Cricetulus griseus: one gene and its partners. The protein of the gene in region 1 interacts with the protein of each later gene in a biochemical or structural test. Links are inferred from orthologs where the notes say so. Each region holds a gene or a part of one and is shown in the gene's direction. Other genes may lie near its edges. The genes, in order: Dlg1, Ctnnd2 and Vangl1.

The links.
Region 2: the proteins of Dlg1 (region 1) and Ctnnd2 interact in a test that uses a peptide from one of them, tested with the Homo sapiens proteins (2 studies listed by IntAct, with this or other methods). The link is inferred for Cricetulus griseus from reciprocal best matches to the Homo sapiens genes DLG1 and CTNND2.
Region 3: the proteins of Dlg1 (region 1) and Vangl1 interact in a test that uses a peptide from one of them, tested with the Homo sapiens proteins (2 studies listed by IntAct, with this or other methods). The link is inferred for Cricetulus griseus from reciprocal best matches to the Homo sapiens genes DLG1 and VANGL1.

Annotation. Positions count from the first base shown.
Region 1 is NC_048597.1:57,638,561-57,642,213, reverse strand, and holds part of Dlg1 (disks large homolog 1), read left to right. Parts: intron 1-870; coding exon 871-921; intron 922-1,912; coding exon 1,913-2,014; intron 2,015-2,265; coding exon 2,266-2,438; intron 2,439-3,653. UniProt on the Homo sapiens protein: Essential multidomain scaffolding protein required for normal development. Recruits channels, receptors and signaling molecules to discrete plasma membrane domains in polarized cells.
Region 2 is NC_048595.1:360,840,427-360,844,079, forward strand, and holds part of Ctnnd2 (catenin delta-2), read left to right. Parts: intron 1-35; coding exon 36-591; intron 592-3,653. UniProt on the Homo sapiens protein: Has a critical role in neuronal development, particularly in the formation and/or maintenance of dendritic spines and synapses. Involved in the regulation of Wnt signaling.
Region 3 is NW_023276806.1:54,795,743-54,799,395, forward strand, and holds part of Vangl1 (vang-like protein 1), read left to right. Parts: intron 1-3,283; coding exon 3,284-3,544; 3' UTR 3,545-3,653.

The DNA of each region.
Region 1 (3,653 bases):
CAGTACATGTTTAAAACTAGAGTTTTAATTATTTTCTTTGTGTTCACATAGTTCACATAGTTGTTTTTCATTTATAATATTTCCAAAGTTCCTTTAATTTAAATTTCAGATGCCTTAATCTGAATCAAATCAAAATTATAGTGGTTTTTAAAAATCAAATATAGCTTTAGATAAATATACTCAGTTGGAACAGAAATAGTATTTTCTGTGGCTTCTTGGGTATTTTCTGTTTTGGGGTTTTTTTGTTTGTTTGTGTGTTTTGTTTTGTTTTGTTTTTATTGAGGCAGACTCACCTCATAGTCCAAGCTAACCTCAGACTGGCAATCCTCCTGCCTGAGACTCCAGTGCTGAGATTATAGGCAAGCAATCTCACATCCAGCCCTAGTACCTATTTATTGTAAATGTTTAGTGTCCCAGAGGAAGGAATTTTTGTTGGTTTCTGTTTTTGGTATGGGGAGGTTGTTATTTGGAGGCAGTTTTGTTGGTTTGGGTTTTTTTTTTATTTTGTAGTACTAGAGAACAAACTCAGGCAGCCTTCCAATAAATTAAATCTCCAGCAAGAAATGAAGATTTTAATGGATTTGATGATCTATAAATAAAAAAGCACATAATAGCATTAAGTTATGGAAAAAATAGTACATTTATGTTTCATCTTATATTTGTCAAATTTACCTTTATGGTTTAATAATTTCTCCTTTGTACTAAATCTTGCCGTGGATAATTTATGACATAGTACCTTTTTGTATGCCCTGTTCACGTCTCAGAAAGTCCTAGTATCTTGTGTGTGAGGAAATAGGTCAGTTGTGTGGAAGAGGACCACAGTGGCATCAGTTACCTTCATTTTCTTACCCTTGCTTTAACTCTCCATAGGTGGTCAAGAAGAATATGTTTTATCGTATGAGCCAGTGAATCAACAAGAAGGTTTGTGAAGTTTGTTAATGTTGTATAACCTTATTAAAAAGTGTATGTATGTATGTATGTATGTATGTATGTATGTATGTATGTATGTATTCAGGGCCAGTGAGGTGGCTCAGTGAACAAGGGTGCTTTCTGGCAGACATGATGACTTCATTTCATCCCTAGAAATGACATGTTGGAAAGAGAAGCAGCTCCCATAAGTTATCCTCTGATGTACTCATTCACACCACATCACACACAAACTTGATTACAATAAATTGATTGGTTAATTTAAAATAAAATTGAATATACTTCTTAGTTTGAAAAATCAGACTATTAGATGCAAAAATGTGTCAGAATTTTGCTATTTTAAACTATATATGTAGAAAATTGCTTTATGAATTTCAAGAAGAACTATTTAACCCACAGAATATTAGAAGCAACTCATTTTATATTGATTGTTTTTTATTGGTGATGTATTCCTAAGCCTGTATAATATCGTATCACTACCCTTGCAGTAACACTTTTTAAATGTCAAGAGACACTTTTAAACTCCTAGATTTTTATCCCTTTCACCCAGGCGGGTTCTAAGCTATTTTTATTCCTCACTGTATCTAATTCCTCCAACCACAATACTAGTCTGATGCTCACCACTGACTTCCTTCTTCAGATGACCTACTGTGTCCTCTGCTGAACTGTCTTTCTAGATCATGACTGCCACCCATCACCTCCTACAGCCACTTGGTCTACTCCATCTTCCTTCTCTGCGTTTAGTTTTTTACTTCAAAAACCACCAGTAAAACACCGTGTTTTGTTTTCTCTGTGTATTGAAATGTCTAAGATGCTAAATTTGACTTGATTGACTTCAGAGATTTTAATAATAATTTGTTTACAAGAGAACATAATGTTGAGAAGGAACAAAGAAGAGACACATCAGAATGGTTTTCTTCTGCTGAGCTAAAACACATTAGTGTTTGTTAAGTGTTTATTCCTTTTCATGTGTTTATCTTTGTAGTTAATTATACTCGACCAGTCATTATATTGGGACCCATGAAAGACAGGGTAAATGATGATTTAATCTCAGAATTTCCCGACAAATTTGGATCCTGCGTCCCTCGTGAGTAACCCAAATTTAAACTGTTCTAACACTTTCTGTCACTGTGTTTGGAGAAAGTAAATATAAGTGCTTTAACGAGTTAGAGTTAATTGTTTTATTAATTATTCCTTTGTCCTCAATATTATTTTCTCTTTTTTTTAAGATTTAAAAGTATTGTGTTAAACTTTTCAGAAAGCAATCAATTAAGTAGAGGATGTATTTATTCTGTTTTTAAATATGAAACACTTCCCCAAGTTCTTTTTTTATTGAAGATACAACTAGACCAAAGCGTGACTATGAGGTGGATGGAAGAGATTATCATTTTGTGACTTCAAGGGAACAGATGGAAAAGGACATTCAGGAGCATAAGTTCATTGAAGCTGGCCAGTATAACAACCATCTGTATGGAACAAGTGTTCAGTCGGTGCGAGCAGTAGCAGAGAAGGTAAGCACCAGAGCCCCCGGGCAGTTTCTAAGGAGGACACATACTTTTGACTTTTATTTGTATTAATAGAAGATAGATAACATAACCTTGATATTAATATTACTGCATTAGGTAAGTAAAATTTTTATTTTGAGTAGTTTAGAAAAATACATATGACAAGGCTGTCAAAAATCTGAAAATAAGATGATCAAATGCATCTGTAAAATGAGAGATAGTTATCTTAAGGGCTGTTTTAGAGGCAGACCTTATCCTACCTGAAGTCAAGTGTCCATGAGAAAAACTGACTAAGTTGTTAAGCATAGGGGCCAAAAAAGTCTCCCAAGTCTACAAAGACAGAGTAAAAATTCAAAAGTAATGTAACAAGTTTTGGGGTTTTGATTTTGTTTGGTTTTGGTTTGGCTTTTGTTTTTTGTTGTTGTTGTTTGGTTTGGGTATTTTGTGGTTTGGTTTGGTTTGGTTTGGTTTGGTTTGGTTTGGTTTGGTTTGGTTTGGTTTGGTTTGGTCTCTGTGTAGCCCTGGCTGACCTGGAACTCACTCTGTAGATCAGACTGGCCTCAAACTTAGAGTACTCAGGAGGCAGAGATCCACCTGCCTCCGCCTCCACCTCCTTAATGCTGGGGTTAAAGGTTCCAGACAACAAGAAGTTATTTTAAAACATTCTCTAATATATTGGTTAAAACAGTTTTTATAATGAAGTCAGGATTATGTGTTGATTATATCAATCTGTCCAGTGATTTCAAGGTCAGTCCAACAGTATCAAATCAGTCAGTAGGAAGCACAATAGAATAATTATCATCTTGAGGCCAGGCTGAACTATAGTGAGTTTCATACCAGGACCAGTGGTAGGTAGGCTAATAACTAATAGATAGGGAAAGTGGGTAAAAAGTTGTATTGATGAGTACAAACTCAGTACATATATGGATTATCACATTTAACCCTACTAATATGTGAAACTTCTGTCTGTTTAAAATTTCTCCATGTTAAAATCATCTTTGCCTTTGTAACTAGTTTCAGGGGTGACACTTTCTCAGTCTAGCCTAACCAGTCCAGGTTCAGTAAGAAAACTTATCTTAAAAAGTAAGGTTGAAAGCTAGGACAGCAGACTTTGGCCTCTGCCCTCCACATTCCCGAGCTTACCCATGCATGCACTACACACACCAGTGAGTAAAATACCAAGATCTAGAATGACAAAGCCTGAGGAACTGTGCCCAACTG
Region 2 (3,653 bases), on another chromosome or scaffold:
ACTGAGCGCGCGTGTTCTCTGTTCTCCCGGCACAGGGCACAACCGGTCGCGCGGGGCACCTGGCGGGGTCCGAGCCTGCGCCTCCGCCGCCACCTCCGCGGGAGCCCTTTGCGCCCAGCCTGGGCAGCGCCTTCCACCTGCCCGACGCGCCTCCCGCCGCCGCCGCGCTCTACTACTCCAGCTCCACTCTGCCAGCGCCGCCGCGCGGGGGCTCCCCGCTGACCACCACGCAGGGCGGCTCGCCCACCAAGCTGCAGCGCGGAGGCTCGGCCCCTGAGGGTGCCGCCTACGCTGCGCCGCGAGGCTCCTCGCCCAAGCAGTCGCCCAGCCGCCTGGCCAAGTCCTACAGCACCAGCTCGCCCATCAACATCGTCGTGTCCTCGGCCGGCCTGTCCCCGATCCGCGTGACCTCGCCCCCCACCGTGCAGTCCACCATCTCCTCTTCGCCCATCCACCAGCTGAGCTCCACCATCGGCACCTACGCCACCCTGTCGCCCACCAAGCGCCTGGTCCACGCGTCCGAGCAGTACAGCAAGCATTCACAGGAACTGTATGCCACGGCTACCCTCCAGAGGCCGGGCAGCCTGGCAGGTAAGGGGGTTGGCTCCCTGGCGCAACTCACCTGGACGCATGTCGGGGTACAGCGGGGACTGGATCCAAGCAGCAGGTCTGGGCATGCCTCGGGGCCAGTTTTCAGATTCTGGGGCTGTGAGCGATGTCAGGGCTTGTCTGGAAAGAAGGTCAGCATCCTTGTTCAGGTGTGCCCATCATGTGGTGTCTCTGCCGCTAACACTCGCCTGTCTTCCCTCTTCCCTACCCGGAGTCTGAAGACTTAAACCGAGCAACAAGGTTAATTTAGTAGGACCACATAGACCTGTTGCTTGCATCCAGAAAGAAATCCAGTTACTATCCCAGTGGGTATGATCAGAGTTAGCTGGCAGAGAAAGTTAGATTTTTTTTTTCCCAAAACCAGATTCTGAACTTACATAGGTTATAACTGTAAAGAAACCAATAGGGAAGTGTGTTCAACATGTTTCATATTTCTTAATAGGCGTGTGCGGAGTGGGGAGAGTTGGACTAGAGTTTGGGGGTGGGGGTTGCTTTTCTTTGTCAGTACAGAGAGGTGACATTTCTGTGGTGCCTGTCCCCATCACAGACTAGGCTGAGCTGGTGAATCTGCTGTTAGTAACATATGCTCAGCTTAACAAGACACCGTGATTGCAAGACTAATGTTCCCTCCTTAAACACCTGACAAGTAATCTGGATTTATTGCCTATTTCTTCCCTTATAGAAGTATTGGTAATTTTGTGACTCTAGTAACAGATGCTGTGCTCATATGTTTCTTTTTTTGACACAAATAGATGAGTGTGAAGATAAATAGGATAAAAAAAAGGGAACTTGTTGCAGGCACAAGGCAGGTGGCCAAGGGCATCTTTAATTCAAATACTGTAATTGCCAGCATGGACTAGCCTAGCTTAGCGGGATGCAGGCTGGGATATGCTATCTACAGAACTGTGTGAGGTGAGTTTACAGAACTGAAAATAATCACTATCTCTGCTTTGCCTGGAGAGTGACATTTTGGAGGTAGACCATCATTAATGCCCAAATATCTCAAATGTAGCTGCTAATTTGAAGAACAGCCTGGGAAACAGGCACCAAACTAAATTTATGAGATCAGACCAAGAAGAAGCAAAGAAGTTGAAGTTATAGGAGACTGAAGTTCAGGAATACCCCCACCCCACCCCACACACCAGCTACTTGGAGAAGCTTCAAGGAGTCCTGATCCAGGGTCCAGACTACTAAAGACCATATTTCATTTCTGAGTTTACTTGAGGAAAGGAAATATGAGTGTTGTTGTTGTTTGTTTGTTTGTTTGGGGGTGGGGTTCCCAGCTCTTCTGTCACCTGCTTATGTGTGACAGACATATGCCTGTCACATTGCAACACTGCAGTGAAATGGAGGATGTTTCCCTCCAGGCAGATATATGTGTAGGATCTTGAAGAAAGGTCTAAAGAAAGGACCTTTGCTGCTGCTGCTACTACTACTACTACTGGTGGTAGTGGTGGTGGTATTCTTCTTGTTGTTGTTGGTGGTGGTATTCTTGTTGTTGTTGGTGATGGTAGTGGTGTTGGTGGTGATGGTAGTGATGTGTGTGTATGCATTTAAGTTTCTATTGGTTAGAGCTGGGAACACTTCTCTGTTTCTCTGGCCAGAAAGAGGACTCAGTTGACCAGCACATTCCCTTCCTTCTGTTCCTCATATTTTCTGGCCATATCTCATTTTTGCTACCTAGTGAGAAAAGATATTCAATGTGATATTGAAGAGTCTTAATTTTAGAGTTGCAACGAACATTTTAAATGTTTGAATTCATTTGTTTAACATACATGTTAAAATATTCATCTAGAGATTTCTTCATGCAAATTGATACTGGTGGTTTTGAGTTCAAAATTATCCTGTCATAGTGTGTGAACATTGGGTTTAAATAAGATTTCATATTCCACTTAGAAAACAGGGACCCATGGCCTGTAGGAGACAGACTGTGGTCTGTGTGAACTCACAGACTTCAGAGCTTTCATGCTCTGATGCCCTGTGTTTGCAACCATTCCAAGCATCACAAAGTTGGGAGTCACCCCATCTACTAATTGGAAGATCACAAACACATTGAGGTTACAAAATATATTTTGTCTCAGCAGAGCTGGGAATTGGGAGATCTGCCCCTGACCACTAAAGTATCAATAGAGGGTAGTGACACCCATTAGCAACTAATTTCACATTCTTTCCCTATGTATCCCTTGTGTGCCACCACTGGTTCAGTCTCTGGAGATTGCATAGTCCCCAAAATCTCTAACCACCTCTCAAATATAGAGGACATAAAATTATTTAAACAAAAACTTTCAATAGGGTAGCTAAAGAAGTCCATAATGAGCAGGTGACTTTTGAGTGTTTCCTCAGCTAGGCCTGTGGATGTTAGAGGAAGGGTGCTGTGACAGAAGAAAAGTGAGTTTGAAGGTTGGGGACTAGGAGTGTGTCTGGTGTGAACAGTGGGGAAAGCAGGAGGAAGGCTTGGCCATGGGATGAGGTTAGACATTTGCCAAGGGGCTGGGGTAGAAGGATTAATAGATCAGGAAGGCCTCATAAGACAAGCCATTGAGAGCCGGAGCAGAAGTGACACAGCCTGGCTTAGTTTGTAGCAGGCTTCTTCTTGTTGATATATTAGGAATAAAATCTGTGGATCAAAGGCAAAAGGAAGAGTGTAATTTGGAAGTTATTACAGTAATGTAAGTTAAAGTTGATTGTGGAAACATTATACTTAATTGAAGGTGATAAACTGTGTGTGTGTGTGTGTGTGTGTGTGTGTGTGTGTGTGTGTGTGTGTGTGTGTGTGTGTGTGAGTGTGTGTTTGTGTGAGTATGTGTGTGTGCAAGGGGGCATGCCAATGTGATTTTCTCATGAGTTAGGTGATGGCTGTAAGAAAAAAGATTACCAATTAAACATAGTTTCCATGATGGAGATGGAGCAGTTTCCAGAAGCGCCTGAATAGAGCTAGGATTTTACATGTGGTGGCATCCTGCCAGAATCCCGGTGTATATGTCACACAGAAAGTTGGATATAAGGGTCAGAGTCCTATTCATGACTTGCTTTGTTTAGCTAAA
Region 3 (3,653 bases), on another chromosome or scaffold:
ACCTATAAATTGAGGTGTTCCTAACACTTCATGTTAATTCATGAAGTGTTAAAATTATACCTGTCATCTGATCCAGCCTAACTTAGTAGCTGTCTTTTTTTTTTTTTTTTTTTTTTTTGGTAGAAATGATGCCACCATTTTGGATGTTGTAGAGTTTGTTTCCTGAGCAGTCTTTTGGATTATGGCATCAGTACACTTTAGGAATGGATATTACAATAACCATCAATGTCATTTAATAGAGGACTGTGGCCAAAAGAGAAGGGGTGGGTGCAGCTGGTGGGTTCAGATCATCGCCCCAGTCGCTCAGCTGGTGTGTAGCTGTGCACATGTATTTTTTGTTTGTTTGTTTGTTTGTTTGTTTCTACACTTGATTCCTCCATATAAAGGGTGGGTATCTGCTTTGCAGGGTTGGTGTGTAAGAAATAATGATAAGTCAGGTTACATAGCATGTGAATCCTGTGGACCCATGAATGACCTTGGCATTGGTGCATAGGTAATATTTGATAGCTCTTTTCCTAAGGACATCTTACTCTTACACTTCCCACAGTTGTCAGTACTTCTGACTTGGAAAAGCCAGGCAGAAATATCCAGTGAGAAACTTTAATGTTTTCCATCTCTTTGACTCAGTAGTCTCTTGCCCAGGAAAATTAGCAGTCAGGCCCATAATCAGTTCTCTGTCTGTGTGGGTTCCCCATCTGTAGAGTCAGCCAGCTATGGGTGGAAACCTTCACTCCTGTGCTGGCCTGTGCACATGCTTTCCTGTCACCCTGAGCATATACACACATGCTTTCCTGTCACACTGAGCACACACACCCACACCCCCCCCCCCACACACACACGCACACATGCTTTCCTGACATATTGAGTGAGTACACAGCTTTCCTGTCACTGTCCCATAAACAACATAGTGTAGCAGCTACTTAGCATCATCACATTGCAGTAGATTCTGTATGTCACCTAGAGATGATGGATTCTACAGTATACAGATGTCTGCAAGTTACTGAGTGTCCTGGAATCAGCTTTTCAATTACTATCTATATTCACAATTATACATTGAAGGCGGATTGCCCCTCACCTAGAATATCCTATATAACTCCAAACTGGAAATCATTTACAAATGTTTCTGATATGCTATGTGGTATATCATCTGTTGGAATGGGGGTGGGGGAACTTGTTTGTGTATTCAGTTACAAAACTCCAAATACAACAGATCATGGACACAGGTTTCAAATACAAAACTATGTGCCTGTGTGCAGAATTATGACTTCTGGCATGAAAAAGGGACAGCTGTTTTCCTTTCTTCAGGGTTTCTTAAAGTTGTCTGATTTCTTCCCATTTCATTTTAAAAATTTATGCTTTCTTGGATGTTTATTGTACAAAAAGAAATGTCCAATGTAGAAGGCTCTTGCTTTGAGCCAGCTATAGTAACTTATGATTGTAATCACAGTGCTTGGAAGACTGAGGCAAAAGATCATGAATTCATAACTACCCTGGGCTATGTAGTGAATTCTAGTCCAGCCTGGGCTTAGCAGAACCCTTTTCAGAAACAAAAACCAAACAGCAAAACAACCTGAGCTGATGAGATGGCTCTGTAGATACAGGTGCTTGTCACCAAGCCTGAGCTCAAGCCCCAGAGCCTACCTACTGGAAGAAGAGAACTGACTCTAGTCATCCACATGCTGTGTCATGCATGTGCGTGAGCATGTACACACATGCATACACACACACAAGTAAATAAATAAATGAATAAATAAATAAGTAAAGTTATTAGAAATCCCCCCTCCCGGTCTCCACTTCCCCTAGCCCATATCCCCCTTACTGATATGGGCTAGTGTATGGTCTCTCCACCATGTCTGTGTTCTAGTGTGGAAATGCTTTGATATTAGACATGTCTGTATTTTGGAAACCTGCTTTCTCCACTCAAGGCTTCTTGGATCTTTCTTTCAATGTATGCTCACCTGACTCACGCAGCTCTGTCTTGCTCCCTGGGAATACCTGGAGCAGATTTGCCTAACTGCTTGTCTGTTGGTGCACATTTGAATTAAGTTTCATGAGTCAAAGCCAGGGGTTGCCTGTTTCTGTGACTCCGATTTCACTGGAACCCAGCCGCACCTTCTTGTGTACCTATCACCATGGCTACAGCTGCTGGCGCTGCATAGCAGAGTAGGGGAGTTACGAAAGAGGATTGCTTGAAAACTGAAAATGTCTTGACCTCGGCCTAGGACCAGATGGATACATGCCAGTGTTTTTCAGTTTATATTATTGGCTCATTCTTTCTCTCAACTAAACTGTTTCGTGTATTTAATTTTGTGCCAGATAAACTAGAAAGTCACACTTTCAAAAGAAGAAAACAATGGTGATGTAGTTCTTACCCTCTATGAGCATGAAGCCTAGAGGGGAAGAGACATAGTTGGTCATAGTTCAGAAAGTAAAATATGACATGAGATCATCCAGGTGGCTTCAGGAGCTTTGACAGAAGAGTGTGGCAGTCCATTTGAGCAGGGGCAAAGATAGTGCAAGGTGTGAAGGACAAGGAGGAATAGCACGTGGGAAGATGTCGTGGAATCAGAGAACTTCGGTTATCTCAGAGAGGGGAGGGGACATTGGTGTGTCTGTCCCTAGAACTGGCCACCTGCCTTGAGTTCTGCATAGAATAACCAACGGTTACAGTGTTCCCACTGAGCTCCAGTGGGAACTGCTTTGTGAGAACTGAACCCTTCCAGCTTGTGGTAGCCCAGAGAGTGAAATGGTGTTGTATCCACCCAGACAGAGGTTAAATGACTGAGCATCATCACAGCCAGCAGGTGGTAGAGCATGCAGTTTTGTCCTTGTGGCTGTTATTGTCTGTCTGCCTTGGATTCACTCGACTAGACCTCTGTGCCAGGTACAGGGAGCTGTCCTCAGGGAGCTTTTACTGCAGTGGTGGAGGCAGGTGTCAGAGGTGCCAGTGTCTGCAGGTAAAATGTCACGTTAGCAGTGCCTTCTGATAAACACTGGTAGCTACTCCATTTCTCTTGCCTCACCCTCTGGTTGCAAATTGCCAACAAACAAAGACAAAACAAAACAAAACAAAACAAAACAAAAAACCCTAAAAACCACTGAGGAAGTCCAAGTAGTCTTCCCTCCCCAGAGAGGTCTCATGGGGCTTCAGCATGAGATGCTGAACTCTGGTCTAAGGTCTCCATGTAATTGGTAACATTTCCTAGGGATTAAAAGGATGGCCCCTGGCCTCATAGCATAGCAGCCCTTTTTTACTTCCCTCGTGTTTTCCTTTGGCTTTCAGGCTTTCCTTGAAAGATACCTCAGCGCCGGCCCCACCTTGCAGTATGACAAGGATCGCTGGCTCTCGACACAGTGGAGACTTATTAGTGACGAAGCCGTGACGAACGGGTTACGGGATGGAATTGTTTTCGTCCTTAAATGCTTGGACTTCAGCCTCGTAGTCAATGTGAAGAAAATTCCGTTCATCGTACTCTCTGAAGAGTTCATAGACCCCAAATCTCACAAGTTTGTTCTTCGCTTACAGTCTGAAACATCGGTTTAAATGTTCTACATATGTGGCTTTATGAAAAACAAAAGAAGAATATATATAGAGATATATATGTCTGGGGGGAGTCATTTTATAAAGAATTTTTTAAAAATTTTTCGATGCT